3 linked regions of the Arabidopsis thaliana genome follow. The protein of the gene in region 1 interacts with the protein of each later gene in a pairwise test. Each region holds a gene or a part of one and is shown on either strand. Other genes may lie near its edges.

Region 1 (9,153 bases):
TTGCTGTTGTTGCCAGTCTAGAGATTATCCGCCGTGGGATATGGAATTTCTTCAGGTGAGAAAACATAAGTTACTGCAACTTTTCTTCACCATGTATTAGCGCTATTTACTGTCACACAACATATGATATAACTTTCTTGGGGATTTGTTTATGCAAAAAAACAGGTTAGAGAATGAGCATTTGAACAATGTTGGGAAGTATCGAGCATTTAAGACGGTTCCATTACCGTTTAACTACGACGAGGATGACGATAAAGGCAACTAGTTTTCTCGGTTTCTAGTCTTAGATTCTGTAAAGACTGATTCATCCACAACGAGTAGGAGGAAGATGGACTAGACTAAAGCTGGTTCATTGAGATCAAGGAGATGTTTCACTCAGGATAACGGATATTCGCTAGATTAGCCATAGTAATTAGGGTCACTGATTTGCACTTAAAATTTGTTTCATTGAGAGAAACATGAAATTCATGGGCATCAACAAAGCAATGACTTAAAAACCAAATTCTCCCACAATAACAAAAGTAATAATCAGAAACATTCAAAGTATCAGAATAACTTAACCAAATAAATTCTAATAATCGCTCACTTTCCCTTGGTTTCTTCTTCTTCTTCCTTCTTCTTCGCCGCAGCGGCTGCCTCCTCCCCTTGTTCCAACTCCTTTAACGACTGAGTCCGCATCTCTTTCTGCATTGCTAGAAACGGTCCGTAGTAATCGACGTTAGTATACATACATGTAATCAGCTTCAATCTAGCATCTCGACAGTTCGTGCCGTCATCTTTCACTTCCCTACAATGATCAACTTCTATGAATGCATCTTTGCAATCACCTTTTTTCAAATACCGACTAAGCCAACACTCTTCACAATCTTCTTCCTCTTTCTCCTTGTTAGTCTCACTCAAATCATCATCAGAACTTACTGTTTTGGATTTGTTCGGATCTTCCGAAGCAGCAGATGAATCTCCTCCTTCATGATCCAAAGGGTCGTTACCGCTTTTTGGTTTGCTCTCAGAATTCTCAGCATTCGCATTCATAGAAGACATGGTTGTTTGATTTTAAAAGACGAAGTTAGGTTTGAGAGTCAAGAACACAAGTGGGAAGCTTAAAACCCCTCCTCTTAAACCCTTTAGTTATGTCGGCTTTTAAGTTTTAGGAAATAGTTTCGTTAAAACCTATTCTTGGAGAACAAGTGGTGGTATTCTTGGAGAACAATTTTTCTTTTATGGTATTTTAAGATTTTTTTAATTTTAAAAATGGTATTTTAAGATATTTTCTCTTTAATTATCTTATTACTTAAAATTATATACATTATTTTATAAAATTTTGACATTTGTAATTTTTTAAAGATTACTGTAGTAAAAATTTGACAGTCCTAATTAGAAGTAATTAAATTTTAACATGGTTTACTTTTTCTAATATTCACTTGTTACAATAGGGGTCAAAATATAACATTACAAAGTTTATGGTGTAAAAAGTAATAATGTAGAAGTGAAGATATTCAATTGAAATATAATTTTATTACAATTAAACCATGTCGTGGAGACATGTTCTGAAATAAAGTTATGAAGTCGGTGAGTGACTTTAGAGTCTCCCTCAAGAGCAATCAATGGATCAGAATTCGTACAGGAGAAGATCGTCTCCGATCAGAACCACTACCGGCGGTTCAAAGTCCGTTAATTTCTCCGAACTACTTCAAATGAAGTATCTCAGCTCCGGTACGATGAAGCTCACGAGAACCTTCACTACTTGCTTGATAGTCTTCTCTGTACTAGTAGCATTCTCAATGATCTTTCACCAACACCCATCTGATTCAAATCGGATTATGGGTTTCGCCGAAGCTAGAGTTCTCGACGCCGGAGTTTTCCCAAATGTTACTAACATCAGTATGTGTTCTTCCAAGTCAAAGTTTTGAGCTTTATTACTTTAGATCTCGTTCTTTACACTACGCATTTGCCTCTGTATGTCCATAGCTCTTGGTCGATTTCAATTTGAGATCTATACTCATAAAAATTGAGTCTTTGTCAGTCACAAGACTACTATTTTTGGTTTGATGTTGTTTTGGTGAAAAAGTGCTCTTTTGTTTTGGTCTCAGCTTAGACTGTTACATTCGTTTTTTCCGAGTTTTTTAGATTTTGTTCTGATTCTGTTTTGTTTTGTAGATTCTGATAAGCTTCTCGGAGGGCTACTTGCTTCTGGTTTTGATGAAGATTCTTGCCTTAGTAGGTACCAATCAGTTCATTACCGTAAACCTTCACCTTACAAGCCATCTTCTTATCTCATCTCTAAGCTTAGAAACTACGAAAAGCTTCACAAGCGATGTGGTCCGGGTACTGAATCTTACAAGAAAGCTCTAAAACAACTTGATCAAGAACATATTGATGGTGATGGTGAATGCAAATATGTTGTGTGGATTTCTTTTAGCGGCTTAGGGAACAGGATACTTTCTCTAGCCTCGGTTTTTCTTTACGCGCTTTTAACGGATAGAGTCTTGCTTGTTGACCGAGGGAAAGACATGGATGATCTCTTTTGCGAGCCGTTTCTCGGTATGTCGTGGTTGCTACCTTTAGATTTCCCTATGACTGATCAGTTTGATGGATTAAATCAAGAATCATCTCGTTGTTATGGATATATGGTGAAGAATCAGGTGATTGATACTGAGGGAACTTTGTCTCATCTTTATCTTCATCTTGTTCATGATTATGGAGATCATGATAAGATGTTCTTCTGTGAAGGAGACCAAACATTCATCGGGAAAGTCCCTTGGTTGATTGTTAAAACAGACAATTACTTTGTTCCATCTCTGTGGTTAATACCGGGTTTCGATGATGAACTAAACAAGCTATTCCCACAGAAAGCGACTGTCTTTCATCACTTAGGTAGGTATCTTTTTCACCCAACTAACCAAGTATGGGGCTTAGTCACTAGATACTACGAAGCTTACTTATCGCATGCGGATGAGAAGATTGGGATTCAAGTAAGAGTTTTCGATGAAGACCCGGGTCCATTTCAGCATGTGATGGATCAGATTTCATCTTGTACTCAAAAAGAGAAACTTCTACCTGAAGTAGACACACTAGTGGAGAGATCTCGCCATGTTAATACCCCCAAACACAAAGCCGTGCTTGTCACATCTTTGAACGCGGGTTACGCGGAGAACTTAAAGAGTATGTATTGGGAATATCCGACATCAACTGGAGAAATCATCGGTGTTCATCAGCCGAGCCAAGAAGGTTATCAGCAGACCGAAAAAAAGATGCATAATGGCAAAGCTCTTGCGGAAATGTATCTTTTGAGTTTGACAGATAATCTTGTGACAAGTGCTTGGTCTACATTTGGATATGTAGCTCAAGGTCTTGGAGGTTTAAAGCCTTGGATACTCTATAGACCCGAAAACCGTACAACTCCCGATCCTTCGTGTGGTCGGGCTATGTCGATGGAGCCTTGTTTCCACTCGCCTCCATTCTATGATTGTAAAGCGAAAACGGGTATTGACACGGGAACACTAGTTCCTCATGTGAGACATTGTGAGGATATCAGCTGGGGACTTAAGCTAGTATGATTTTTTGTGTGCCTTACTCTGTTTTTGATTATTTGATGTATCATGTAACTTCTTAAATTAGCTTTAATAAAGTCAATTTTTGTGCTTTTGACATTTTCTCTTAAAATAGATAAAACAAGAGCATAAAGGTTGAGTTTTTATTACCAAAGTCTCAGTTTTTTTTTGATGATCTTTTGCTTATTCTCTTACTCTTCCTATGTAACAAATGAGGAAAGTAAAAGGGAGAGATCAGATTTGATTTCTTTTTCCATTTTTGTTTAGATCTTAGGGTTTCTGAATAATGTATCCCTCCAGAAGAAGATTATCTCTTTCCAGAGCCATTGATCAACAACCGGAAGATCAATCAGGAGTCCAAGAAAAGAGTTGCAGATTCTTAGGAGCAATGAGAATCACAGAGATCTTAGCTTTGTTCATGGTTTTAGTCCCTGTCTCGCTAGTAATCGTAGCCATGTTTGGATATGATCAAGGAAATGGCTTTGTACAAGCATCTAGATTCATAACAATGGAACCAAATGTGACATCCTCATCAGATGATTCATCACTAGTGCAGAGAGATCAAGAACAAAAAGGTAAACTTACTTTCTTCTTTTTGTTTTGAAATGTTTCTAAATTTTTCTTTGAATGTTTCATCAGATTCTGTAGATATGTCTCTGCTTGGAGGGCTACTTGTATCTGGTTTCAAGAAAGAGTCTTGCTTGAGTAGATACCAATCTTACCTCTACCGTAAAGCTTCACCGTATAAACCTTCGTTGCATCTACTTTCGAAGCTTAGAGCTTACGAAGAGCTTCATAAAAGATGTGGACCGGGAACAAGACAGTATACCAATGCAGAAAGATTGCTTAAACAGAAACAAACAGGTGAGATGGAATCACAAGGATGCAAGTATGTTGTTTGGATGTCGTTTAGCGGATTAGGAAACAGGATTATCAGTATTGCTTCTGTGTTTCTGTATGCAATGTTGACAGATAGAGTCTTGCTTGTTGAAGGAGGGGAACAGTTCGCGGATTTATTCTGCGAACCGTTCCTCGATACCACTTGGTTACTACCGAAAGATTTCACCTTAGCTAGTCAGTTCAGTGGCTTTGGTCAAAACTCAGCTCACTGCCATGGAGATATGCTGAAGAGGAAACTGATTAATGAATCCTCTGTTTCGTCTCTGTCTCATCTCTATCTTCATCTAGCTCATGACTACAATGAGCACGACAAAATGTTCTTCTGTGAAGAAGATCAAAATCTCTTAAAGAATGTTCCTTGGTTGATCATGAGGACAAACAACTTCTTTGCACCGTCTCTTTTCTTGATTTCTTCTTTCGAAGAAGAGCTCGGTATGATGTTTCCCGAGAAAGGAACGGTTTTTCACCATTTAGGTCGTTACCTTTTCCATCCTTCAAATCAAGTCTGGGGACTAATCACAAGATACTATCAAGCTTACTTAGCCAAAGCTGATGAAAGGATTGGTCTTCAAATAAGAGTCTTTGATGAGAAATCCGGCGTATCTCCTCGAGTCACAAAGCAAATCATTTCGTGTGTTCAAAACGAGAATCTGTTACCGAGACTAAGCAAAGGTGAAGAACAATACAAGCAGCCATCAGAAGAAGAGTTGAAACTCAAATCTGTCTTGGTCACCTCTTTAACAACAGGATACTTTGAGATCTTGAAAACAATGTATTGGGAAAATCCAACTGTAACAAGAGATGTGATTGGAATACATCAGCCAAGTCATGAAGGACATCAACAAACAGAGAAGCTAATGCATAACAGGAAAGCTTGGGCAGAGATGTACTTACTCAGCTTAACGGATAAGTTGGTTATTAGTGCTTGGTCTACATTTGGTTATGTAGCTCAAGGACTTGGAGGATTAAGAGCTTGGATTCTGTATAAACAAGAGAATCAAACCAACCCAAATCCACCTTGCGGTAGAGCTATGTCACCAGATCCTTGTTTCCATGCTCCTCCTTACTATGATTGCAAAGCAAAGAAAGGAACTGACACTGGTAATGTTGTCCCGCATGTTAGACATTGTGAAGATATTAGCTGGGGACTTAAGCTTGTTGACAACTTTTAGATAATCAACATTGTAATGTTTCCTTTTTTTCTGAATGTTTCAGTTGATATTAAAAGATAGAAGAACCAAGCCATTTCCATTATTGTCTTTCACTAATGACTTCTTTTACTTAACCCTGTAATAGGCTCTGTTTTAGTGCGCTTAATCACTATTAGGCCCATATAATAATTTTCTTGTGTTTTTGTTTTCCCAACAGTAAGTGAGAAAAAGAGAAACTCAAAAGTTTTCTCAACTAACAACGGAAGAATAGGGCTTTGCTTGTTTGAGTGAATCTCTTAAACAGTGTCTCCTCATTTTAAGTAGGGAAGTTACATCAATGTCTATCTTCTTACACGCCTAACTTTGTTCTGTAACTCTTTTCTTTTTGTGTCCTAAAAACTCTTTATAAACACTAATCTACACTCCCTTAATCTCTCATCTATCCACTCACACACACACAAACCATGGCTTCTTCTTCTTCTTCTTCTTTATTATTTCCTTTCTTTCTTATTCTTTTTTCATGTTTAATCTCGGTTTCATCGTCAAGAAGATCATTAATCGACCGTACTCTTCCGAAAAACCTTCCGAGATCCGGTTTTCGATTGAGTCTTCGACATGTGGATTCCGGTAAAAACCTCACCAAGATCCAAAAGATTCAGAGAGGGATTAACCGTGGATTCCATAGATTAAACAGATTAGGAGCTGTAGCTGTTTTAGCTGTAGCCTCTAAGCCTGATGATACTAATAACATTAAAGCACCTACTCATGGAGGAAGCGGTGAGTTTCTTATGGAGTTGTCTATTGGAAACCCGGCGGTTAAATACTCTGCTATTGTTGATACCGGAAGTGACCTTATTTGGACTCAATGCAAGCCTTGCACTGAATGTTTTGATCAACCAACTCCGATTTTTGACCCGGAGAAATCTTCCTCTTACTCGAAAGTAGGATGCTCTTCTGGTCTTTGTAACGCATTGCCTCGATCAAACTGTAACGAAGATAAAGATGCTTGTGAGTATTTGTATACTTATGGAGATTACTCATCTACAAGAGGGCTCTTGGCCACGGAAACGTTCACTTTCGAGGACGAGAACTCGATTTCTGGTATCGGGTTTGGGTGTGGGGTTGAGAACGAAGGCGACGGGTTCTCTCAAGGGTCAGGTCTTGTAGGTCTTGGTCGCGGACCGCTCTCGCTTATTTCTCAGCTCAAAGAGACTAAGTTTTCTTATTGCTTGACCTCGATTGAGGATAGTGAAGCATCTAGCTCGTTGTTTATTGGATCTTTAGCCTCGGGTATCGTCAACAAAACAGGTGCAAGTTTAGATGGTGAAGTCACCAAAACGATGTCTTTGCTACGAAATCCAGATCAGCCTTCGTTCTATTACCTTGAGTTACAAGGCATCACCGTTGGAGCAAAACGCCTTTCTGTTGAAAAGTCTACTTTTGAACTAGCCGAAGATGGAACCGGAGGTATGATCATAGACTCAGGCACGACCATCACGTATCTCGAGGAGACCGCGTTTAAAGTGTTGAAAGAGGAGTTTACTTCTCGGATGAGTTTACCAGTAGATGACTCTGGATCCACGGGACTTGACTTGTGCTTCAAGTTACCTGATGCTGCCAAGAATATTGCTGTTCCTAAGATGATTTTTCATTTTAAAGGTGCTGATTTGGAGCTTCCCGGAGAGAACTACATGGTGGCGGATTCAAGCACCGGCGTTTTGTGTTTGGCCATGGGAAGTTCTAATGGGATGTCTATTTTCGGAAATGTTCAACAGCAGAATTTTAATGTACTTCATGATCTTGAGAAAGAAACGGTGTCGTTTGTTCCCACTGAATGTGGAAAATTGTAGATTTTTAATTTGTTTTTTTTTTCTTTTATTATAAATGAAATTTATACTTTGTGACAATGTCAAGTGCTTCAATAGTTTTATCCGAGTAAATTATATATCCGACTACATAGAAAATATTGGTTTACTGTTTTGCTGGTATGAAAAAACAGAAGTCTCTTTGCCACAAAAAGGAAAAAAAATCATTTTAATTTGCATATTGATGAACCTAACTAGACTAAAAATTAAGTAATTGTATATGTTTCCATGTGCCCGTGAAACCACAAAGATAATTATCATGTGCTTGGATTTTTTTGCCGCATCATGTGTGAGTTAAAGCTGGAAAAACTTCTAAATAAGGTAACATTTTGTAACAAAAAGTAGTCTATTTTTGATTATTAAAATCTATATAAATTGTTAACCATAGATTGGAGAATCTTCTAATTAATATATATATATTAATATTTACGTAACAAGAGTGGTAATTTGTTTTGGAAGGTCTTGTTCCACCATGAACAACTTTGATATAGACATTGATATGATGATTCAATATTAGAATTATTGACAATAATGAACACTAATTATTATTAAAATTATTAAACTTGGAAGCAAAGTAAAGGGGTTGGCTCAACTTCCAAGCAACTCGAGAGAGAAAGAGATGAAATGCATGCGTCATGCAATTTTTATCAATTTGGAATTATAAACACGTCGCCTAACAAACATAATTAAGCCCTAACCATCTCACCTATTTTTTTCTTTCTTAAATCAAATTGTTTGAAAACCATGAAATATATTGATGTATCTTATTATCTTATACTGATTCACTAAATTTTAACATATGTTTTTAGAAGGAAAAAAGATATATTGTATTTTAGATAGTATTTTAGATCTGTTCCTTCTACGATTGTATATTTCTCTCTCATATAGAACTTTAGAGCATATGTGGATTTGGTGTCGAATGTTCTTTGGTCGATATCTCGGAACATGAAAAGGATTAGACTAAAATGTGATTGCTTGAATTAGCTTTTAGCCTTTGACAATTGACACTCACGGGATGTTTAGTATATTATGGGCTTTAAAGGGCCCGTAATAATTTATATATTCTTGCTAAATCGACCCATTGTGAAGCCTCTCTTAAAACTAATTTATAAATGTAGATAATGAAAATTATAGTTCAATGCATGCATACATAGCCACATATCCCATATGGATTATTATTATTTTATTTTATTTTAATTTTGGGTGCAAATCCCATATGTATTAATTTACATTAAATGTAATTAAATGCTTTCATACTTTTCACAAATAACTTTCTATGATAGAAAAATACCATTACATTATTTAGAAAATATGAAATGATTTAATTTATTACATTTAATGTAAAATAATACATATGCGATATGTGTAGGTATGCATTGAATTATCATTTCATTATGAATTTTCACTACGTGGCTAAAAGAAATCGTAAATGTTTAATTTTTTAACAGAGAGAAGCCCTAGGGCACATGTATTTTGATAAATTTCCAGTGCCCAAGTCTTCATCAAACGGTGGCGATGTACGCTATATTTTATACTGTTCCGCTGGCGAAAGAATTCAGAATCGCCAGAGGCTTTTTGGTTGGAAAGAATTAATTAACATTGGCATATATAAGTAAATATTGTTAAACATTATAACATGATGAAATACAAAAGGAAACCACAAACCATGAATTCAAAGAAACGAAT
Region 2 (10,885 bases), on another chromosome or scaffold:
ATAGTTAGGCATTCTCGAAAAGAAGAAGAGTAGATACAACTTGTTAGTCTTGAGATGAGTGAGCACAGGATATGGAATTCAATAATTTGTAAGCACAATTCATCTGACAAATACAAAAGACAAGTGAATTGATAATAATAATAATAATGTATATTTGTTTGCTTTGTTTTTATTGGGTTATAAGACGACCAAATTAAAAATCTTTCCGAACCTAAGATTTATGTATTTTAAAAATATAACTTAAAATACTCAGCTATGGAGTTTATACCAATAGTAATAAAATAAAATAAAACTATATATACTATCTTTTGTATCATTGTCATCTACTATATACCTCACATTCATTTGTTTCTGTAATTAATTGAATATTAGTTTTTTTTCCTTTTTGGACGAAATAACTTTAGAGGTCCTGTATTTTGATTAGGACGTGGTTATATCATGTCATTGCAAACAAAATAGCAATTTAAGAAGTGAAATTCGTGGTTGCAATAGCAAATAGTCTGTCGGTTCTCAATCTATGTTTGAGGGTGTGATGTAGTTTCTAATCACTATTTTCCTTGGAATTTGTTTTTGATAGGAATGTGAATATCATATGAATGAAGTTTAGGTTTTACAAAAAAGCTTAACCAGATAAATGTAAACTTGCCAAGAAAAAAGATTAAAAAACAAGTAATACAAGCTAATGTTGAATGTCAATCAACATGGTCTACCGGATCCACAAGAGCATTAGGCTTCTATTTACTTGGACATTACGTTGATGAGAAACCCTTCTTGTAATCTTTTACCAACTATCATCTACGGTTTTTAAGAATTCAGTTTGACCAAAGTTTAACAAAAGTTTTATATTTTATTTGACACTAGATGACCGTTAATACTAAACCATCTTTGATCTAACATGAAATTTACTCAATCAAATATATATATCATTGATTAAGTATGATGATTAAATTGCAAATCTAACCATAAATGCAGATCCAATTATAATGATATAGTTGCTCGATTATGAGAACCCTGGAGATTTTATTATGAAATCTATAGGCCCAATTATCAGAATCAAAACTCAATCAACTAGATGATGTGAAATCAATTTTTTTAATGTATGTACACATTATTATTATACAATCATGGCCAGAGAGGCCATACCACATGTGTATAGTACAATCTCACATGTGTCAATGCCAAATAAAATTCATAAAAATTAAAAACATTGGCTTAAGAGTTGAAGACATGTCCCATGTTCACTTTGGTTTATCTCTTCAATATCTCCTAAAAATTGCATTTGCTTGGTTGCTAGGACACACTCGCATACAGCTACATGAATTCTGAATGACCCATATGTTCCTTTTAGCTCCAAAATTACTAGTTATTTCTGTTTTGCCGGTTTTTATTTTCTACTTTTAGAATCATGACAAATAAATACAATAAAAAAAGATTTCAATATCCATAAGAGACTATTTTAACGTTGATCAAAAAGTGATTTGAATGTTTTTCTGAATTGTCTACATTTTACTACCTAGCTCACATATTTATCTGGCATGGTATTCATGATTTATTATCCAAGTCCCAATTAAGACTAAAAGGGACATACTGGCTCTAAGTCACTTGTTTCGGATCCCACTACTTTTTGGGAAAACTTCTAACATTAAGAAGTTTTTGAAGATTTTTAAAATGTAATGGAAACTATATACAAGTCATTCGAAAAACAAGATCTAGCCATTCCATAGGGGTTCATAGAGATGTTCAAGACTTTCCATATGTGTGTGTGTACCTTGTGTATGAATAAAAATAGATAAAAAGACTATCATTTGACTTCTAAGCAGTTAAAATATTGTCTCATTGATGATATTGACCAATCAAGCATAAACAAAATTGTTTTTACGATGAAGAATAATAATTTAATGAGTTAAATACAAAACCTCACCGATTGCATCTGAAAAATCTTAGAAGATTCACTATATTGTTTATTGAATTATTGAAAAATATATTCATTAATTAATAAGTGATATATATATATATATATATATATATATTTGAAAATATGATTGAGAACAAAAAGATACAAACTTGGCCGTCTCATGTGGTAGACCTTACTTCAGTGTGACTGTGCTGATGAAAGAGCATGTGCCTCTATTAATGACATATATATAAATTATACATATGGTTCTCGTAACTAATTCTATAACATAACACAAATACAATTCGAAAATTTGTTTGTAGGTCACGCAATTAAGAAATTAAAACCTAATAAATGCTTAGTGGGAGGAATCCCCATCAGCAAGAAAACTCAAAATCATCAACAAAAAAAAGGAGAGATTATTCATAAAATTTGTTTGATAAAAACAGATATGAATAAGTAGCTTTAGTAATGCTATAAATCTGTAACTCCTAGTCTTGTTTGTAATGTTATAATTATGGTGCAAGAGAAAATATGTTTTAGATATTCAAAATCAGATTGATGAACTATTACATTTACAGTTTACCAGCTCAAACACGTTTTAGATCAACCGCTAATAAAAACTGGTCAAAATATAACACCTAATCACAAAAGCATCATAAGTATGTCATAAGCGACCAAAATCAACTTAATAAAAAAACAAAGTGGTAAAACACTAGGGCCTGATAACTTGTATAGCTGTCTTGTACAGTGTAATAATCATCATATATATTCTCTTCTTAAGTCTAATGGGTTATTCAACATTTATCCACCATCTATTTCAGATTAATTAATAGCTGCCGTCAAAAATAAAAAGGATAATAATAATGTTGTGATATAAGATATTATAGAATATATATTTTAATATAATAATATTTTATGTTCGTAAAATAGAAACTTCCCATGTGATTTTCTTCTCTCACCGCCGGTTACGGTTATTGTCTTTTTCTTAGACTTGAAAATATTAAATCTTTTTGTTATGGAATTTTACTACACAGCTTGTATTCATATAGTTTTGGGTTAATAGTTAAAACATAAAACATATATCGTGATTATAGTTTACTCACATTTTACATGTTGTTACACTGTCGATATCTATCAAATATATTACTGTTGTAATTTCTTTTCAAAAATACTGTTCTAATTTAATCCTGCATCCAACAAACTTTTTGACCAGAGAGAACCAATATATATATCAGTATGTCTATAAAAAAATATGATAATTGTGAAAATGAGATCCATATTTTTGATTATATATATAAGTGAAATAGATTTGATTTGATTTACTTTGCAACGTCTTGTGACACAAGCATGACATAATCGAACCCATCTAACAATAACATGCAGTATATCGTTGAGCTTCTAGCAAAATCAACAAAAATCTAAAATCTTTTAGTAAAATAATATTAAACCTTTTATCATTAAGAATTTTTTTAAAATTAACAATAAACCCATGACATTTGTCTAATCTGCCATAGAGTTGAGGTGGGACTTCTAACATGCTCTATTATCTCTTGTACTCCGTTGATCATCGATGATAAATCACAAGCTAAATGTTTGTGAATAAGTGAAAATTTATCTTGGAAATGAAAAATTATCCAAATCAAAGGGTTACAGTAACTGGATAATTCATTTAACACTTTGAATCAACAAGATCAAATAAAAAAAGTTGGAAGACAGTGAAGCGACAACATAGTCCATTACTTTGAGTTAAAGTAATATTATAATTTAGTAAAGTTGATCTAATTACATTTTTATAAGTTTAATCTGGTCATCGCTGGACCAAGTTGTCATCCTCCAAATTCCTTACCAATCATACAAATTGATTTTTGGCCTTTTCTTGGAATCATCTCTTTTTTTTCTTTGTGTTTTTCTTCTCATTCATTTTGTTTTTCTTTAATACACACACATGCATGTATAAACGCAGTTTTATGACTGGACATATCGCGTAAGATCCATAAGCCAATAGCTTTTTTTAAGTAAAGTATTTTCATTTTATGGGTATAATTATAAAGATGTAAATTTCCCCAAAATAATATAAACAGCAGTCTCTCTCCTACTTAATCAAATCACTAGACGCGGATTTGCTTAACAAAGTAACTTTAAACCAAATCGTTCCACCTAAAAGGCTAAAACCATTAGGATTGATTTTGGTCAAAAAAATCGGTTACTATTTTTTAATTTACTTAGAAGACTGGCAAAAAAAAATGATTCCAAACTACTAACATATAAGATAAAATGTATTTAACATCAAATTAAAATTTTCACGTTAACTAATATAAAAAAATGATATGAAAGAAAACCCAACTAATCTTTGATTATATGCGTTAGCCTTCTTCATTAGCCTTCTTTAAATACTAGATTAGTACTTGATAAACTTTTATTGTCTATACAATATATCAAAAAAAATGCCTCTAAATTAACTACATAAATTAGTAATTTCTGAAAATTAATAAAAAAAACACGTAACCATAACTTCCGAGTATGTTTACTTTAATAATTTTCACGGGATTCTGAACTCTAAATAAAGATTGATTGATAAAAAAATATTAAAATAAAATTCACGGGATTTACAAATTAGTTATCATTTGAATCATTTGTTATAGAATCTAAAATAAAATAGTAAATTGATCATATAGTAAGAAATCAAATTTTCTTTTTTTGTCATAAATAAATATAATTTGTTCTTTAGTTATGCACGCTGGAAATAGATCCCACTAATAAAAATTGGACTTTTCAAACAAAGAAAATAATTAAATAAAATCTTCCTTTACAAAAACAAAAGAGGAAAATTCAAAGAAAGGAGAACTCTCTTCTTCTTCTTCTTCTTCTCCTCTCCTCTTTATTTACTTAGTTGGTTCACTTCAGCACATGATCCTCGTCTCTCTTTCTTTCTCTCTCTCAATCACAAGTTTCAGTTACACAGCTGAACCCAAAGTATCTCACATTCTGATCTAATCAGAACACTGTTTTGTCTGTGTAACATAAACAAACGATCCTGTTTTTATGGAAAATTTAATGAAACAGTGACGATTCTTCTACACTTCTTTATAATGACAAACATTTCATAGTACCAAAATACACAAATACCTTTTCTTTATTCTTCTCACCCTTCTCTGTTTCTTTATCATTCATGGCTCCAAATTCAGTAGCAGTGACAATGGAGAAGCCAGACAACTTCTCTTTACTAGAGATCAACGGCTCAGATCCATCCTCATTCCCCGACAAACGTAAATCCATCAGTCCAAAACAATTCTCATGGTTCCTTCTTCTCAAAGCTCATAGACTCATCTCGTGTCTCTCGTGGCTAGTCTCTTCGGTTAAAAAGCGAATCGCGTTCTCCGCGAAGAACATTAACGAAGAAGAAGATCCTAAAAGCAGAGGAAAACAAATGTACAGATTCATCAAAGCTTGTCTTGTCATCTCCATTATTGCCTTGTCCATAGAAATCGTTGCACATTTCAAGAAATGGAATCTTGATCTCATTAACCGACCGTCTTGGGAGGTTTACGGGCTTGTCGAATGGTCGTACATGGCTTGGCTCTCGTTTCGATCCGATTACATCGCTCCTCTTGTCATCAGTCTCTCCAGATTCTGCACTGTACTCTTTTTGATTCAGTCTCTTGATCGGTTAGTCCTCTGTCTCGGTTGCTTTTGGATCAAATTTAAAAAGATCGAACCTAAGCTCACCGAAGAATCTATCGATTTAGAAGACCCCTCCAGTTTCCCAATGGTCCTTATTCAGATCCCAATGTGCAACGAACGAGAGGTAAACTATAAACACTCTGTTTTTACTCTGTTTTCACTTTGGTTTTACTCTGTGTTGCTCTGTTTTTACTCTGTTTTTATTCTGTTTTATGTTCTGTTTTCTCTTACATAGTATAATTGTTATGTTTTGTTTTCTTCTAGGTGTATGAACAATCAATAGGAGCAGCTTCACAACTTGATTGGCCAAAAGATAGGATCTTAATTCAAGTATTAGATGATTCAGACGATCCAAATTTACAGCTTTTGATCAAAGAAGAAGTATCGGTTTGGGCCGAAAAAGGCGTAAACATAATTTACAGGCATAGGTTGATCAGAACTGGTTACAAAGCTGGCAATTTGAAATCAGCCATGACTTGTGATTACGTTAAAGATTACGAGTTTGTGACTATCTTCGACGCAGATTTCACACCAAATCCTGATTTCCTCAAGAAGACTGTTCCTCATTTCAAGGTAAGAACACAATCTCTTTATTCCCAAACTTATAAAAGGAAACTTCTTTCTTGACGTTTCGTAATTTACGATGAATGTTTTAGAGAAATTCACTGGAAAAAGATTTGTTTCTTTTTTACACTTTTTTGATAGAAAATATTTTTTTGATTATACTCATCACCGACAGTTGTCTTTGCTGGTTTTATCTATTTTTCGGTGGATCATGTTCTAAGTAACCGACAAATTTTTATATTGTTTTTTGTATTTTTGGTTTTATGTTAGGAAAATCCAATTTGGTAATTTGTTATGTATGAAATCGAAGTAACCGACAAATATGAAATTACAAAACTCATGACTTCTTTGGTTGATTTTTCTAACATGACAAGTCTTCAAATTCAATCTAGTTGAAGCTAATCTTGATTCTGTTTGATTCCGGGTTTCAATTATTCCTTTGTTTTTACATTTACATATTATAATAATAATTGTTTTATAAGTTATTGTTTTGTGAAAAATCGAAATTCTATTATTTTATTTTTATGTACCCCACCTAAAGAGCATATCTTATTTTTCATGTGGGTTGTTGGAGTCGAACTCAAGATGACTGAGACCGGAATTTTTAAGTAGACTAGTCAATAGATTTTGTTAAAATGTAAAAGTATATTCATGTGGAAGTTTACATTTATGCAAACATTTTTGAATATCAAGATTCTTACGAGTGTTGTGTTGTTTGTTTGCACAGGGTAATCCAGAGCTAGGGTTGGTCCAAGCAAGGTGGTCATTTGTGAACAAAGATGAGAATCTCCTCACGAGGCTACAAAACATAAACTTATGTTTCCACTTCGAAGTAGAACAACAAGTGAACGGTGTGTTTCTCAATTTCTTCGGATTCAATGGAACCGCTGGAGTATGGAGGATCAAGGCATTGGAAGAATCCGGCGGATGGCTCGAGAGAACCACCGTGGAAGATATGGATATCGCGGTTAGAGCGCATCTCAACGGCTGGAAGTTTATTTACCTTAATGATGTTGAAGTCACTTGCGAGTTGCCAGAGTCTTATGAAGCTTACAAGAAGCAACAACATCGTTGGCATTCCGGTCCTATGCAGCTGTTCCGGTTATGCCTTCCTTCAATTATCAAATCAAAGGTAAAAGTTTATTTCTACAACTAGTGATAGTAGTTAAACATCATTACATATACTCATTGTTTGTTTTTGTGTTTGTAGATATCGGTTTGGAAGAAGGCGAATTTGATCTTCCTTTTCTTTCTTCTAAGGAAGCTTATTCTACCATTTTACTCATTCACACTCTTTTGCATTATACTTCCATTGACAATGTTCATACCCGAAGCCGAGCTTCCGTTGTGGATCATCTGCTATGTTCCTATCTTCATTTCGCTTCTCAACATTCTCCCGTCACCTAAATCTTTCCCTTTCTTAGTCCCTTACCTTCTTTTCGAAAACACAATGTCAATAACCAAGTTCAACGCCATGATCTCCGGGCTGTTTCAGTTTGGATCGGCTTACGAGTGGGTTGTGACGAAGAAAACCGGGAGATCATCGGAGTCCGATTTGCTAGCGTTTGCTGAAAAGGAAGAGAAGTTGCATAGGAGAAACTCGGAGTCAGGTTTGGAGCTTCTGAGCAAACTTAAGGAGCAAGAGACAAATCTTGTAGGGCAAGAAACCGTGAAGAAGAGCCTTGGAGGGCTAATGAGGCCGAAGAACAAGAAGAAGACGAACATGGTGTTCAAGAAAGAGCTCGGGCTTGCGTTCTTGCTGCTAACCGCAGCTGCAAGGAGCTTTCTATCGGCGCACGGTCTTCACTTCTACTTTTTGTTGTTTCAGGGACTGTCTTTCTTGGTTGTAGGGTTGGATTTGATCGGAGAACAGATCAGCTAGACACACACAAAACCAAGACAGAGAACAAGGAAAAAAATACCGTTTATATTCACTATTTTTTTGTTTGTTTTTTAAATTCTTTTCCCTTTTTATATGTGGGTTTTATACATAATTTTCAAGAACTTATAATGTCCAGTTTCAGATAAATGAATTGAAACGAATTTGTTATATGATTTTGGCTTAACTTTAAAAAATCATAGCTCTTAGATGTTTTGTTTGGATAAATATTCAACAGTATTTCAATCACAATTACTCAATCACATTACCTCTAATAGAAAATATTTTTGTCTTCTCAACTTTGATTTGATTACCATAGCATTTGTGGACAGAATGAATGGAACTACAAACTATTCTCATTAGTGGAAAGATTACAAATGATAATTTGTCTAGTCATAGTTTAATTTGTCTCGGAAAAATACTCAAAAGAAGTGTAGATAGAGATCAGATTAGTTATCTATATATACATTTTTGTAGACGTTTTTGAAGATAATGTTGAAGATTTGAGCCATAATTCAACAATTAATTCAAATGGGTGGGTATAACCCGGTTTAACTCTGTTCGGATCTTGGATAACATGTTTAATTCTGTTCTGATCTTGGATAACATTAATTTTTGGAAAAGTTACCTAAAAACTAATAATTAAAAACAAAAATTAATGATTTAATTACCAAATTTAATATAAACAATATCTCTAAACTAACCATATTTGTTATTTACTTTAACTATTTTCCTAAAATATTTCTACCTAATTTAAACATAAATATATAATTCTTCTTTCACTTTTATTTGATCTTATACTTTATTTATTTTGAATTTATATAAAATATATATAGTTAATAAAATATTATATTTTTTTCTGCATATGATGTAATTCAAATTTTTAAAACGGACATATATTATTCAACCTATGAAGAAATAATATGTGTACAATGTCCCACATCGCTTAGAAAAATTGTACAATGGTTCAGACCCATATTATAAAAGGACCAAAATGATTCTGATTACGAATGAGCAGGAAACTTGATTTATCAGGCGTCCAAAATTAAAATAGTTATCCGATTTACTCGGGTTTTTTATTTTAAAGATTTGAAACTTTAAAATGTTTCAAGAAATTATAAATATTATAACTTTATCAAAAGTTAAATATTATAATTTTAAAAACTTTTTATAAAGTCTATCTTTAAAAAATGCTTTAAATATTTATAATTTTAAAACTTATAAAGTTTTAAAAATTATAAATTGAATTTTACAAAAAATTTAAACATGATAAATATATATATAATATATTAATACGAGACGATATATTACAGGAAAAAACTTAAATATAATCAAGGTCGATATTGTATTTTTTGTAAGTTTCAAATTTTATAATATTGAAATTAATAAGAAAATGACAAAATTGTTTAATTTCACGGGACTGGGTTGTATGGTAGGATGGGTTTGGGTGGATAATAATTAAGATTGTACAATGTCCCACATCGCTTAAAAAAATTGGACAATGGTTCAGAGCCATACTATAAAAAGGACCAAAATGATTTCGATTACGAATGAGCATGAAACTTGATTTATGAGGTGTCCAAAATTAAAATGGTTTGTTTACTAGGGTTATTTATTTTAAAGAATTGAAACTTTAAAAAGTTTCAAAAAATTAAAAATTAAGTTTTACAAGAAATTTAAACAATATAAAAGATATTAATATGGGACGATATACTGCAAGAGAAATCTTAGATATAACACTCAAAATTCAATGATGAAGTTTGGGTCAATATTAATCTTTTTTGAAGTTTCTAATTTTATAAATATTTGAAATTTATAATAAAATGACAAATTTGTGTTTAATTTCACGGGACGGGGTTATATGGTGTGACGAGTTTGAGTGGATTATAACATGGGATGGTATGCTACGGAAAAAACCTATAATTAACAATCATAATATAATTATATAATCTTAAACACTAAACAAAATTAACAATATTAAAAAAAAACTTAAAACTTTAATTTTTTAAAATCACATTTCGATTCTTTTATAAGATTTCTCTCGCAGTACTACCACGGGTGAAATCCTAGAATTGACGGGTTTGAATCGATATTAATATGGGATGGTGTACTACGGGTGATATTTTAGAATTGACTGGTTTATGTTGATAATAATTTGCGATAGAATTAGGAGTGAAATCCTAGAATGACAATTAAAATATAATTATACAATTAAATACTACCACGGGTGAAATCCTAGAATTGACGGGCTTGATTCGATATTAATATGGGATGGTGTACTACGGGTGAAATTTTAGAATTGAATGGTTTGGATTGATTATACTTTGCGATAGAACTAGGAGTGAAATCCTAGAATGACAATCAAGTTATTATTATACAATTAAATACTACCACGGGTGAAATCCTAGAATTGACGGGTTTGATTCGATATTAATATGGGATGGTGTACTAAGTGTGAAATCCAAGAAACAACAATCAAAATACAATTATACAATATTAAACATTTAACAAAATAAACAAATACAACTTAAAACTTTAAAATTTGAGTTATAAAATTTTGTCTCGCGGTGAATTATACATTTCAATCAAACAATAGCATAAATTTATTAAAAATCATCCTAAAAAATATTCAATTATTTTTTTTTTAATGAAAATATAGGCCCGCGGTATACCGCGGGTTAATATCTAGTTAAGAGAAATAAGAAATTTAGAGAAATCTAGGGTTTTTAGACTATTGAATTACATATTGTTTTGTTTGCTTTAACTTTTAACATCTGTTTTTAACAAGGGCAAGTTAAAGTGATTCTTTATTTTTTTGACAATTTCTTACAAATTTGGGAATTTAGTCTATTCATTAGATGATT
Region 3 (11,262 bases), on another chromosome or scaffold:
TAGCTCTTTTAGCTTTCACATTTTCATCAGTATTCACATCATTCCTGATAATTGTGCCAGAAGTCCCACGACTATCTTGTTGCTCACTAATGGTTGCTGCTGCAGATGATTCCATGTTGTCCTCTTGTGAAACCCCAATGCTTCGTCTAGCAACTGTATTTCTTGCACTTCCTGCTTTGCGGTTTTTACATTTGGATGATGCAACTTTAACTTTAGGTAGCTTCTTTTGAGTAAGATCAATCTCATCTCTACCTAGGACCTGCAAATCGATGAAATTTGAGTTCATTTCAACACACTTGATGACACTATCATAGAAAACAAAAAGACCTTGCTGTACCAGAGTGAAGAACAGCCTTTACCTTGGCCTTCACAGGACTAGGTAGAATCTCCGGAGAACAAGGCCTCTGAGTCCATTCAAACATTTCGCTATCAAACATGTCACCTGGATTGGGCTTTTGTTGCTCGTCTTCCTGAAACATTCATCGGAAAAAAAGTAAGATCAAAGGATCCGACACTTTTTTAGGATATTGGATAGAATGAGGGAATTCCATGTAACTGAGTATGACTTTTATGAGTAATAAATGTGTCAAAGACCTTTTAACTCGCAGTATTCAATCTAAATCAAAGATAACCTCCACCGCATAACTAACATTTATCAAACACATTTCTATCATAAACTAGTGTAGAATGTATCAATACTACAGAACAATATAATGCAATATGAATCCTGAAAGATAGCACTAAAAAGGCTATTGAGGTTTTTGAGTATGGACCTTCGATGGGCTCTCATGATCTGAGTCCATCAAATCGCTGAAAGAGGGAACATTAACTGGTGTAGTCCCTAAAAGTTGATCACTTTCTGTACGCTGACTTGAGTTCTCCCCATCATCTTCATCTCTCAACCAAAAGAAGGGTGAAAGATTTCCTTCTTTATTCAGAGATGGATGCTCATCCAAACGAATCACAGTGTTTTCAGTGTAGTCCTTGGGTTTTTCAGCTGTTTCAACAGACTCAGTAGGTTTAGTTAAACTTTCAGCAGACAGATTCTGGAGCAGCTGCACCCTCTTCTTGGTTTGGGATGAAGGTTTCATAACAATAGGCCCAGGTGCATCTACATCTATTTCCTTGGTTTTCCCATACTCGTTCCTCTTGGATGCTCGGCCCTTCCTAGATCCCTGACGATTCTTATCACTTGCCTTTTCAACGGAAGCATCTCTTACTTGCTTTTCTTTATCTGTAGACGCATATCACAGAACACAAGTTAGAAAGAAATACATATCTCTTCATTCAGGTAAAATCCGAGCATTCTCTTCATTCATGTGGGAACTTAATCGGCATTTTTAGGGTTTTCTTACTACAAAATTCCACTTTTTAGACCATTCAATTGAATTCAGAGACAGTTCAATTTCAAGTGAAATGATTAAAATCCAGTTACTACGCTTAAAATGAACTTGCAACGAGTCTATCACTGCCTTTGTTTCGTTCAAGCCAACCAAAATGTTAAAGCATTGGTCCTAATTTTAAGTACCTGATGGTGACGGATTATTCTGGCTAACGAATAATTTAATCCCAGAAGCATCTTCCATGTTCTTGTAAATGCTCACCAAGCTATCCATATGTGGAGCACCTCGAATCTCTAACATATTAACATAATCATCAAACTGCAAACTTAGGTTTAACAACAGATAAAGCTGAACTCTGAGATCAATAAAGAGCAAGAGAAAGTACCTCTACGATGGTAAGGGATTTTACAAACAGGACAAGTAGCATCCATTTTCATAGATTTCACTATACACGCACTGAAATCAAGAGAAGACCATGTGTTCATTACTTTTAAAGATTGATGAAATGAGAATACGAAGAAAGAACAAACTAAGGAAAGGTACTTACTTGCAAAATACATGGTTACACGAAAGTGAAACTGCAGAATTATATAGACTCAAGCTGCCAATAACAAAAAAAAACAAATTAAAATTGTTACCAAGGCAGTTAAACGAGATTCATTAGTCAGACAATACGAAATCAGGGTTTATGCTCGTCACAAAATTGAGCAAAGAGAGACGCGATTTACCAAATAGGGCACTTGAGTTCTCTTCCCATCCTCTCCAGGTGACTAGTGTCCGCCATTTTCGATCTTCACTCAGAGAAAACGAAACGAATCAATCTGATGAATCAGGAACAAAGCGACTCTTTGGGTATATAGATAGATAGATGACGAAGCGTGTCCTTCAAAGAGGCTTCCCTTGAAAGCTTTACAGACTAAATAAAAAGCGCCAAATTTTCATCTACTTCAAAATATTTCCAATCCCGCCATGAAAACACGCGGTATAATCTCATTTCACTCAATTTTCGTTTTGCCCCTATAAGTTTTTTAGTTGCAAGATTTGAACCCATTACTTTTATCTATGCAAAATTTACCCACATATATACTTTAAAATTTTACAAATTTCCCCTAGAAGACTTTAATTAACGAAGATTGTCCGTAGAATTTGAACGATCTGCGATGAAACAATAATTTTATTTTCTGCATTACCAGACTACCAGTAATCTTGGCAAGAACAAGAACCATTTTTAAAATGGTGAAACCTGCTACGATCTCTGACTACAATCTCTCGGTTATAAACCTTTGACACAAGTTTGATTGCTAAGTGACAATCTGCACATACTCTAAGATTCTTCACGACTGTAATCGGTGATCTTTCTGGTGTACTAATTAACATAAATGCAATAGCAATCTTCTCACTGTGATAAACCACAGCATTCTCCTTCTCTTCCTCTTCAACATCTACATAGACATTAGAAATTTGTGGAACGTAACCTTCTGATCTCAATCTACCAGTCATTTCTTTCAGCTTAGCGTAAATAGCATCGCTTTGTGGGTGAGACTTATCACCCATAAGAAACTCATGAACTCTGTTTCCTACTTCTACTAAGCTGTGACCGGGGACTTTTTTCACACCGTCTCTTAACATTTGTTTCCGTATCTTTTGCACATCGGACCAACGCTGCTCGGATGCGTACATATTCGACAAGAGAACATAATCGCCGCTGTGGTTTGGTTCTAGTTGTAAGATCTGGATTCTAGCAAACTCTGCTAAATCTGAATCACCATGAACAGTACAAGCTCCTAACAATGTTCTCCAGATTACAACATTAGGCTGCATCGGCATACTCTTGATGTATTCATATGCTTTCTTCACTTGTCCAGCTCTAGCTAACAAATCGACCATACAACCAAAATGCTCGATCCTAGGTTCAATCTTATACTCCTCTCTCATTCTCCTGAAATACTCAAAACCTTCCTTCACCATCCCGCAATGGCTACAAGCGTATAATATCCCAACAAACGTGATCTCACATGGTAACAATCCCTCCGTTGATTCCATATACTTGAAAAGCTCAATGGCTTCTTTCCCAAAACCATTAACAGCTAAACCGACTATCAACGAAGTCCACGAGACACTGTTCTTGTCCACCATTTCATCGAAAAGTGTTTTGGCTTCTTCCACTCTTCCACATCTCGCATACAAGTCCAAGAGCACATTGCTGGAATGCAAGTTTCGTGTCAAACCTACTTTGATCATATAGACATGAACTCTCTTACCCAATGTCAAAGCACCAATCTTTGCACAAGCAGACAACAAGCTAACAATTGTGAACCCATCAGGCTTGATACCCTTGGAATTCATCTCAGTATAAAGCGCTAAAGCTTCTTCTGGTTTACCGTTTTCCGCAAACCCATTAATCACAGAGTTCCAAGCCACTAAATCTTTCTCAGGCATTTTATCAAACACCTTGTACGCACTAGCTACATCTCCACAATTTGCGTATAAATGAAGCAGAGAGTTCTGAACATAGATCAACGAACCAAAGCCACTTCTTATAACAACCGAATGAATCGTCTCTCCTAATCTAACATCCGCCATTGTCGTCACAGCCTTAATAAGAAACGGATAAGTATGAGTATCTGGCTCGACCAAACCAGAGACTCTCATCTCACGGTATAGAGAAAAAGCAGAGATGGAATTACCAATCTCGGCGTAGCCTCTGATCAATGTGTTCCAAATAAAGACATTGATGGGTTTCTCAATCTTGGAGAAGACTTTGTGAGCGTAAGACATGGGAGGTGGAGAAGGAAGAGAAACAAGGTAGAAGATGAGGTGTTTCCCAAGCTCGGCGTCTGAGATTGAGACTCCATGGCGGATTGAAAAAGCGTGGATTTGTCTGAGTTTCGTTATCGATGAAACGCCGTAGGTTTGCAAGAGGTTTATGCATTTCTCGACCATGGGAAGTAGCAGAACAGAGGTTTCTGAGAATGGAGACATTTTGCTCTGTTCTTGTGGGCATTGTCGTCAATTGCATTAGAATCGAGGCAATTCCATTATCATATACTATTAAAATTTAAAAGACTTCAAGTGATGGAAACTTCTCAGAACCCTAAAAATCTTCACTTTCTCAAAATAACTTCAGACAGCCGCCGCCATTCTCTGTCCGGAGAAAGATGGTTCGTTTCAGGTTAAGCTCTGATGATTCTCTATCAATCTATAATGCTTCTTCAAAGACATAAAAAGTGAAACTTTATCACTGTGTAGTTCATCTGGATATCTTAACCGTGCAAGTTTCTCTATGCCTCTCTTTTTCTCTTCTTGATTGATTCACGCACCGTGTATCAGAACTTCACAGCCGTAAGGTTTTGGCGTGCGGATTAAACATGGTGCTAAACAAAATTCTAAAGGCACATTTGGCTGTATCCATCTGATCATGAAAAGATTAAATTGGTAGTCTTTGCGCCACAGTTTTTTTGTTGTAATCAATCCGTCTTTCGAGTTTTCTTCATTACAGTTGCTTCTGCTATTGACCTGCACACTCTTAAGATTGATGTTTAGATGTTCTGTTTATACAATCAGGATTCTGATCAATTCATCTGTATACTAACCAAACTTGTTGTCTCTATGGGTATGTCACATCTACCGGATGAGGATTATGGCAAACACTGAAGAAAACAACTCAGTGACATCTACCTGGATCTTGTGGATGCCCTCTTCCATTTCCCCATCTTGCAAAAGCTGGAAATCTTTCAGTGAAGCGCAAGAAATGCAGATGATTAAGGAAATGCGACTTGATGAAAGCCAAAATCTTGATAACATGACTCAAGAACTTAAAGACCAGCAGAGTAGTATAAATGTATAATACAGTGACCTTGGCTTCTCTTTCTTGGTAGCCCCATAGTGTTATGGCAAAGACGTTTTGAAAGAATTTGTTTAGATATCAGTGTAAATCTCTTTCTTAGACAAAATCCTAATCAATGTACAATAAGAGATTGTTATCTTGAATGTGTAAATGTAAGCAACTAGCACCAAAGAGGAAAAATTACAAAATGGGTTAAGGTGGTGCCAAATCTGTAATCCTGTAATATCTTCCGGCTAGTGCTATGTTTTGGTCATCTGAAATTGCAACATTGTGGTCGACCTTTCAACAAATTATCCCACAGGCACATCATTTGACTCGGAGATTGATAATGTGCAGTGTAATAGTTCAGTGTGCATCCGTATTGGCAAAATTTCCAGCTGTGTGAGTATTCGACAGGCTGCATAGAGGCGTTGAATTGCTCCACCCACAATCCCATGCTCACATCTTCCATCTTGAATAGCTGTGACAACAAAGTCGAAATAGTTTGAAAATGTTAGGAGACTCTTATGTTCATGACAGTAAAAGATGGAGATGAACGTAAGACGATGATAAAGGGTCAGACCCTAAGCTTATGTCTTGAATTCTGAGAAACAATATATTTAGCAATGTTGCTTGAGATTATGTATCCGGGTCCATTGGCATAAGGAGGATACACAGCTTCTGGCCACTCCTGTTACAGTATAAGAGAAAATTTAGTATCTGAGGCTGCTTCTGATTTCTGAATCATACAGACTATATGCAGGTAAAGAACAGAAGCCATTGTACCTCCCATGTAACTGTCCACTTGCCAGTTCTAAGAGGACGATGTCTAAGATTTAGATTCCCCATATAAAGTGATTTTTCTGGAGAGACTCCATCGATTTGTTTCAAAATTGATTCCACTCTGATGAAGGTATCATCGTCACACTTCATTATATATGGCGCTGTCACATTCTGGACCTGAATGGAAGATATTCAGACTCTCATAATTAGATTTGTGTAAAGTAACTACAATGAGGGAAACTGTTCATTTACTGATCCTTATCAGAGATTGTTCAAAGACTTAAACAGATATGGAGTCATGAGAGAAATGATCAATACCCCAAATTCACAAATGGCAATTGTCTTAAGGACCACTAGCTCATATCGATCCATAAAGGGCAGAATCACAATATCTCCAAAATATTCAGCCTCCTTCTTTAGCATTGCATTAACTTCCTTTCTTGGATTCTACACAAAACAAATCAACAAAAACACATAAACTGCTCAGTATTCCAAAGCATAAGAACTTCAAATCAGCAAATCTCCATCTCAATGTTTCAATTAAATCGACCTGCAGTATTAAACTTCTTAAAGATCATGCTTTAAAATAAGGAAAGATTGTAAGAACTTACAAGTGCAACAAAGAATCGGGCTACTACATCTGAAGATTTAATAGAAGGATGTTGCATCCATGTCTTTCTCACTGCCATGCGCTCTGAAAAATGGTTAGTTGCAGAGAGAACACCCATGAAAAGGCGAAAAGGAGTGCCAGGTAATGGAGGAGCTTTCCATTCTGAAGAAAACTCTATAGCTTTCTGCGGTGAGAAACTCGGATGAGATGTTGAAAGAGAAGTAGCATGAATAGAATGAATATCAACATCTCCTGTAACTGCCAGCCCTGTGGCATCTTCTATGGTAAATCCCTGAGAGGCCAGACATCACAAAATATTTTACAAAGTTATCAGACATGGACGAGATGAATCCTCTTGGTTTGAACAAATGATACTATTGAGTGCTGAGACCAAAGCCATATACAAGTAGAATGCTCATCTGATATCACATACCGGTCGATAAGGGAATGAAGACACATGTCTTCCACCAACATTAATATGGAAACCATCAATTCCAGCTCGCAAAGTTAGGACAAAGACCTTGCCTTCCGCAAAAGGGAATGACCAAGTGACTTCTGGTTTTTGTTCACGTCCTATAAACCGTTTGAACCATGATGTTGTCTTTGATTCCTTTGAGTCCACCATGTCAATTATGTCATTCTGCGTCCACTTTTCACATCTTCGGAATCCGTCAACTGGAAAAGTACATTTACTTAGATGAAGAGAAAACAAAAAGAAACATAACTACACAGCAATAAAAAAGAAGCTAAGGTAATTCAAACTTAGACTTCTGAGCATGGACTTGCTACATTCCGGCAACTAACAACAGTTTATGATGGATGCTCAAAATCTTACCAAGCACGTCTGCGTCCTTCTTGGATGGAGTACCATCACATCTTTGAGCAACCCCCCACTGCATCCTATAACATGTATTGTGTTCAATGACTGGTCGGTGATTCCAATCACCTTTGATCCTAGGGTTCAAATGAAGAATCTTAGGGGGGTATTCACCGTCCCCTGTCTTCAGCCCTTGCAACTCAACCATAAATTGTGAAACCAAAACCATTCCATAGCTTCTTGTCAATCTCGAACGCTGAGGAACAGATTCTTTATGAGCATACTGTGGAGTTCCAAGAATTGTAATAGAAGATCCTGCAGCAAGACCACAGGGAAGCAACATGATCCTATTGGCTTTATTCAAGTCATCTCCATTCATTGAGATCTGAGAAGGACATGACTCCACCTTTCCTTCGAATATAGAAGCACTCTCGTTGATCTTATCAACCTCAAACTTATCAACATCTTCCCAAGCCTTGGATCCAAGTATCCAAGCCTCATCTGCCATTCTTTCAAAAGGTGACATATGAATAGTCCTATTCCTACGTCTCATGACCTCTCCTGATATTCGACCATACCGAAACAGAAGTGGCTGAATCTGTTTAGATCCATTAATCTTCTCTTCTGGTGACACCTTCTGAGTAGTAGAAGGCCCACTTTGATGATCTTCATCTTCTAGCTTCCTATTCAACATGTCATTACGTAACGATCCGCTTAAACTAACATCTAAACTAGTATCACTTAATGCCCCATCTAAACCAGTATCACCACTCAACATAGCAACCATCTCAATGAAATGTGGGAACTTAAAAGCTAAGAAAACCAAGTAAAACCCTGCTATAGCTAGTAAGAAATGTGACAACTTGAACCTCCTAGAACTATAAACTCCTCTAAAAGATTCGCTTTTTACTCTTTTCATTGTGAGGGTCAACTAAAAATTACTACCTTCCACAATCAAAATCACTCGACTTGTTGATTCACAAGACGAATTAGTGCCACAAAACTGCACCTGGAGTACCTAAAATGTAGCCAATTCATCGAACAACTTCATTGAAAGAAGTAAAGGAGATTTATAACCTGAGAATCCGGTAAAGAGAAGGATTCTAAACCCCACAATAGCAGCTAAATCTCGACACGATCTGAAGATCAATAGAGTCTACGAAATCCAATCAAAGCAACCCAAATGTCTCAATTTGACACGAGAATTTGAAAAAGACGAAATTTGTTTTAAAAATCTCGTCTTTTGGCGAAGAAGAAATAGATAAAGTCACTAACTCAAACAAAACAAAAAACCAATGAAGCAGAGCAAATCTCCACCTGATTTGAGCAGTTTTATCTCCTTGAATCTAGGGCTATTAGAGAAATAAAACAGAGGAGAAAAACCCACTCAGGAGATGAATTGAGAAATCGGAAGGAACCTTTTTTCATTTTTTAAATTTTAAAAACCACCAAATGGTCTCTCTATTCTTAACAATATTCACATGTGTATAAATTTAGTCAAAAGTCTCACTAAGAACAACGAATCAAGGGTTTTTAAAGTCGTTGATTTCTCTGTTATTTATCTCCAAAATTACATATTCTTATCTATAAAGATTTTGTTAAATGTTAGGAATGAATAATTAAATAAAAATAAAACTTTTAAACATACATATTTGTTTGTTATGAAAATGTGCAAAACATTCCATTTTTACTATTTCGAACTAAGTATCTTCAAAACTACACATCCTTATTAAAACGGGGTTTCGATCGAAAATTACAAACGATAACCAAAAGGTATAAGTGTATAACATGTATTATTAATCAGACCTTTTAAATAAAAATAAAAAGGTCTGAACTATATAATATAAACGGGTGCATACAAAAATATCGACCCGATCATTAAAAAATACAACATTAGTACGTAGATCTTAGTTTTCGAAGACAGAAAAAGAGCTTCGAAAATTCTTAGAGCTGCTAGATCCGGAAATAGAAACCGAAATAGACGAAGAGGAATAAGAAGAATTAGGTGAATAAACATGTTGATGAGATGTCTTCATCATCACCACCATCCCACCATTGAAAGAATCTTCTTTATTCTCTTCTTCTTTGATTGTGTCTAGCTTCTGCTTCGCTGCTCTATGCCTCCTCATAACCGTCACAAATTGAGGTGGAGCAACCTCTGATACAAACCTAGCTAGACGAGAAGTAGCCATTTGTTTTTATGGTCAGTCATTAACAAGAATAGTGTTTATAGAAATCAAAGAAATGATTTGAGAGGTATATGATGGTTTGATTTATGAAATGTTTGAGATACGAAACTCGTATATATATGTGGATGAGTTTGTTAATTACCCGCGACGTAGGGCATTTGTTTTTGACGTTTTGCACCGTCAATAGCTTTTGCTATTTAATGTATAGACACGTGTAGTGTAAGTCTTTATTTGTTTTGTCGCGATCAATTTATTTTGTCTCAAAAATTTAAAAGCATTACATAGAAATTACACCAAATTTACGATCGTAATCATTTTTATTGTTATTATTTCAGCTTATTCAATAGAAAAAAAAAACCCTTATAAGTGTATTTCATAACGATATAATTAAAAGTTAAAAATATTTTAAAACAGTATATAATGAAACGGAGGTAAACAAAAATTAGAAGGAAATGCAGTATGGTTAGTTAATTCACTCAAAAAATTCATGTAACCATATAGCTAATTCACTATATGGTGATAATGCATTTGCCAACTTTTGAAAACGATAGGGATAATGAAGTTAAGAAAGCTTATTATAAAAAGGAAAGAGTGAGCACGTTTCAAATTCCTTGTGGAAGACCTCATCTCTATCTCTGTCGGAATCGATGACTGACAAAATCTAGCTTTTTCCCTTGCATTAACCGGCGGTCTTATGATAATCCACGTCTATACTAACACAATCTGGACGTTTTGTCAATGTCCTTGTTATATCAGATTTTCTTTAATTTCATTAAGATTTTGTCTATGAAAGTGGCCGTTTTGGCTCTCGAAAATCTGAGAGAGCAAGTTGTAACTATTCATTTATGTTTTTATTAGGTCTTTAACCATATAGTCATAATTACCTATAAAATAAAATTATTTATTAAGAAACACATTTTTCAATAATTAATTAAAATTTTAAAATCTAGAAATTCATTAAAGACTATAAATGTTGTATTAATTAAAACATAGATTTCAACGAATTTCTAAGTATTAATTACATCATTGTTGATTCGTCATATATTTAATAAATAATCTCAATTTCTTTTGGTTCACATATCTACTTTATAGTTGGCTACTAACATTTTAGGATTTCTTTTGGAGAATTAATATTGATAATATTTAATTCTGAACATTTCACAATCGAGACTAAGGTTTAATCAATTAATTCTCACAACGGAAATCGAACTCGTGTTGAGATTGTTCGAGAAATATCTCTAGTTCTTATTGTATATATAAAAAGGAAAAAGGATCAAACAACTTTCTTTTTTTTTGGACAACCTTGTTTTCATTCGATTTAGAGAATTGAGTTCATACAAGCGAGGAGACCTCTTTTGCCAAGGCATCAGCCTAAAATTTTGCTTTCGCGAGATTAAAAAAAAAATTACAAGCATCAAAGAAATTGGGAATTAAACAACTTATGTCTGAATATTTTGGGACTTAAACAAAGATGCAAACTTTTATAACTAAAAAAAGACCCAACATAAACCATGCATAAACGAAACTAATAAAAAAAAAAGAAGTAGAAACGATGGACTGGAACATTAACTTCCGAATGTTAAGAAGACCTAAACAAACATGTTTCTCATATTGTTCTTCTGAGTGTCTCAAGATCCTATGCTTCCACTACTGCTGGCTTTATGATTCATGTTCATAGCGTGGTTGAAGCTTTG

The links.
Region 2: the proteins of FT1 (region 1) and CSLC04 come close enough for resonance energy transfer, tested with the Arabidopsis thaliana proteins (one study listed by BioGRID).
Region 3: the proteins of FT1 (region 1) and AT4G21060 come close enough for resonance energy transfer, tested with the Arabidopsis thaliana proteins (one study listed by BioGRID).

The regions. Positions count from the first base shown.
Region 1 is NC_003071.7:964,805-973,957, reverse strand, and holds FT1 (fucosyltransferase 1), read left to right. Parts: upstream 1-1,541; 5' UTR 1,542-1,604; coding exon 1,605-1,881; intron 1,882-2,157; coding exon 2,158-3,557; 3' UTR 3,558-3,713; downstream 3,714-9,153. Other genes in the region: AT2G03240 (EXS (ERD1/XPR1/SYG1) family protein), read left to right, coding at 1-55, 166-265; AT2G03230 (GCK domain-containing protein), read right to left, coding at 583-1,041; FUT2 (fucosyltransferase 2), read left to right, coding at 3,838-4,126, 4,191-5,623; AT2G03200 (Eukaryotic aspartyl protease family protein), read left to right, coding at 6,067-7,452. UniProt on the Arabidopsis thaliana protein: Involved in cell wall biosynthesis. Is both necessary and sufficient for the addition of the terminal fucosyl residue on xyloglucan side chains, but is not involved in the fucosylation of other cell wall components.
Region 2 is NC_003074.8:10,501,044-10,511,928, forward strand, and holds CSLC04 (Cellulose-synthase-like C4), read left to right. Parts: upstream 1-4,667; 5' UTR 4,668-5,066; coding exon 5,067-5,702; intron 5,703-5,842; coding exon 5,843-6,151; intron 6,152-6,869; coding exon 6,870-7,274; intron 7,275-7,352; coding exon 7,353-8,024; 3' UTR 8,025-8,222; downstream 8,223-10,885. UniProt on the Arabidopsis thaliana protein: Beta-1,4-glucan synthase rather involved in the synthesis of the xyloglucan backbone than cellulose. Seems to work simultaneously with xyloglucan 6-xylosyltransferase.
Region 3 is NC_003075.7:11,239,039-11,250,300, reverse strand, and holds AT4G21060 (Galactosyltransferase family protein), read right to left. Parts: upstream 9,572-11,262; coding exon 9,395-9,571; intron 8,776-9,394; exon of another isoform or gene 8,536-8,775; coding exon 8,457-8,535; exon of another isoform or gene 8,299-8,456; coding exon of another isoform or gene 8,214-8,298; coding exon 7,398-8,213; intron 7,238-7,397; coding exon 6,996-7,237; intron 6,855-6,995; coding exon 6,564-6,854; intron 6,400-6,563; coding exon 6,271-6,399; intron 6,130-6,270; coding exon 5,956-6,129; intron 5,861-5,955; coding exon 5,753-5,860; intron 5,651-5,752; coding exon 5,441-5,650; downstream 1-5,440. Other genes in the region: BRCA1 (breast cancer susceptibility1), read right to left, coding at 1-259, 360-470, 774-1,234, 1,529-1,636, 1,729-1,799, 1,891-1,944, 2,072-2,127; AT4G21065 (Tetratricopeptide repeat (TPR)-like superfamily protein), read right to left, coding at 2,538-4,325; DOF4.4 (Dof-type zinc finger domain-containing protein), read right to left, coding at 11,228-11,262. UniProt on the Arabidopsis thaliana protein: Possesses hydroxyproline O-galactosyltransferase activity. Transfers galactose from UDP-galactose to hydroxyproline residues in the arabinogalactan proteins (AGPs). Is specific for AGPs containing non-contiguous peptidyl hydroxyproline residues.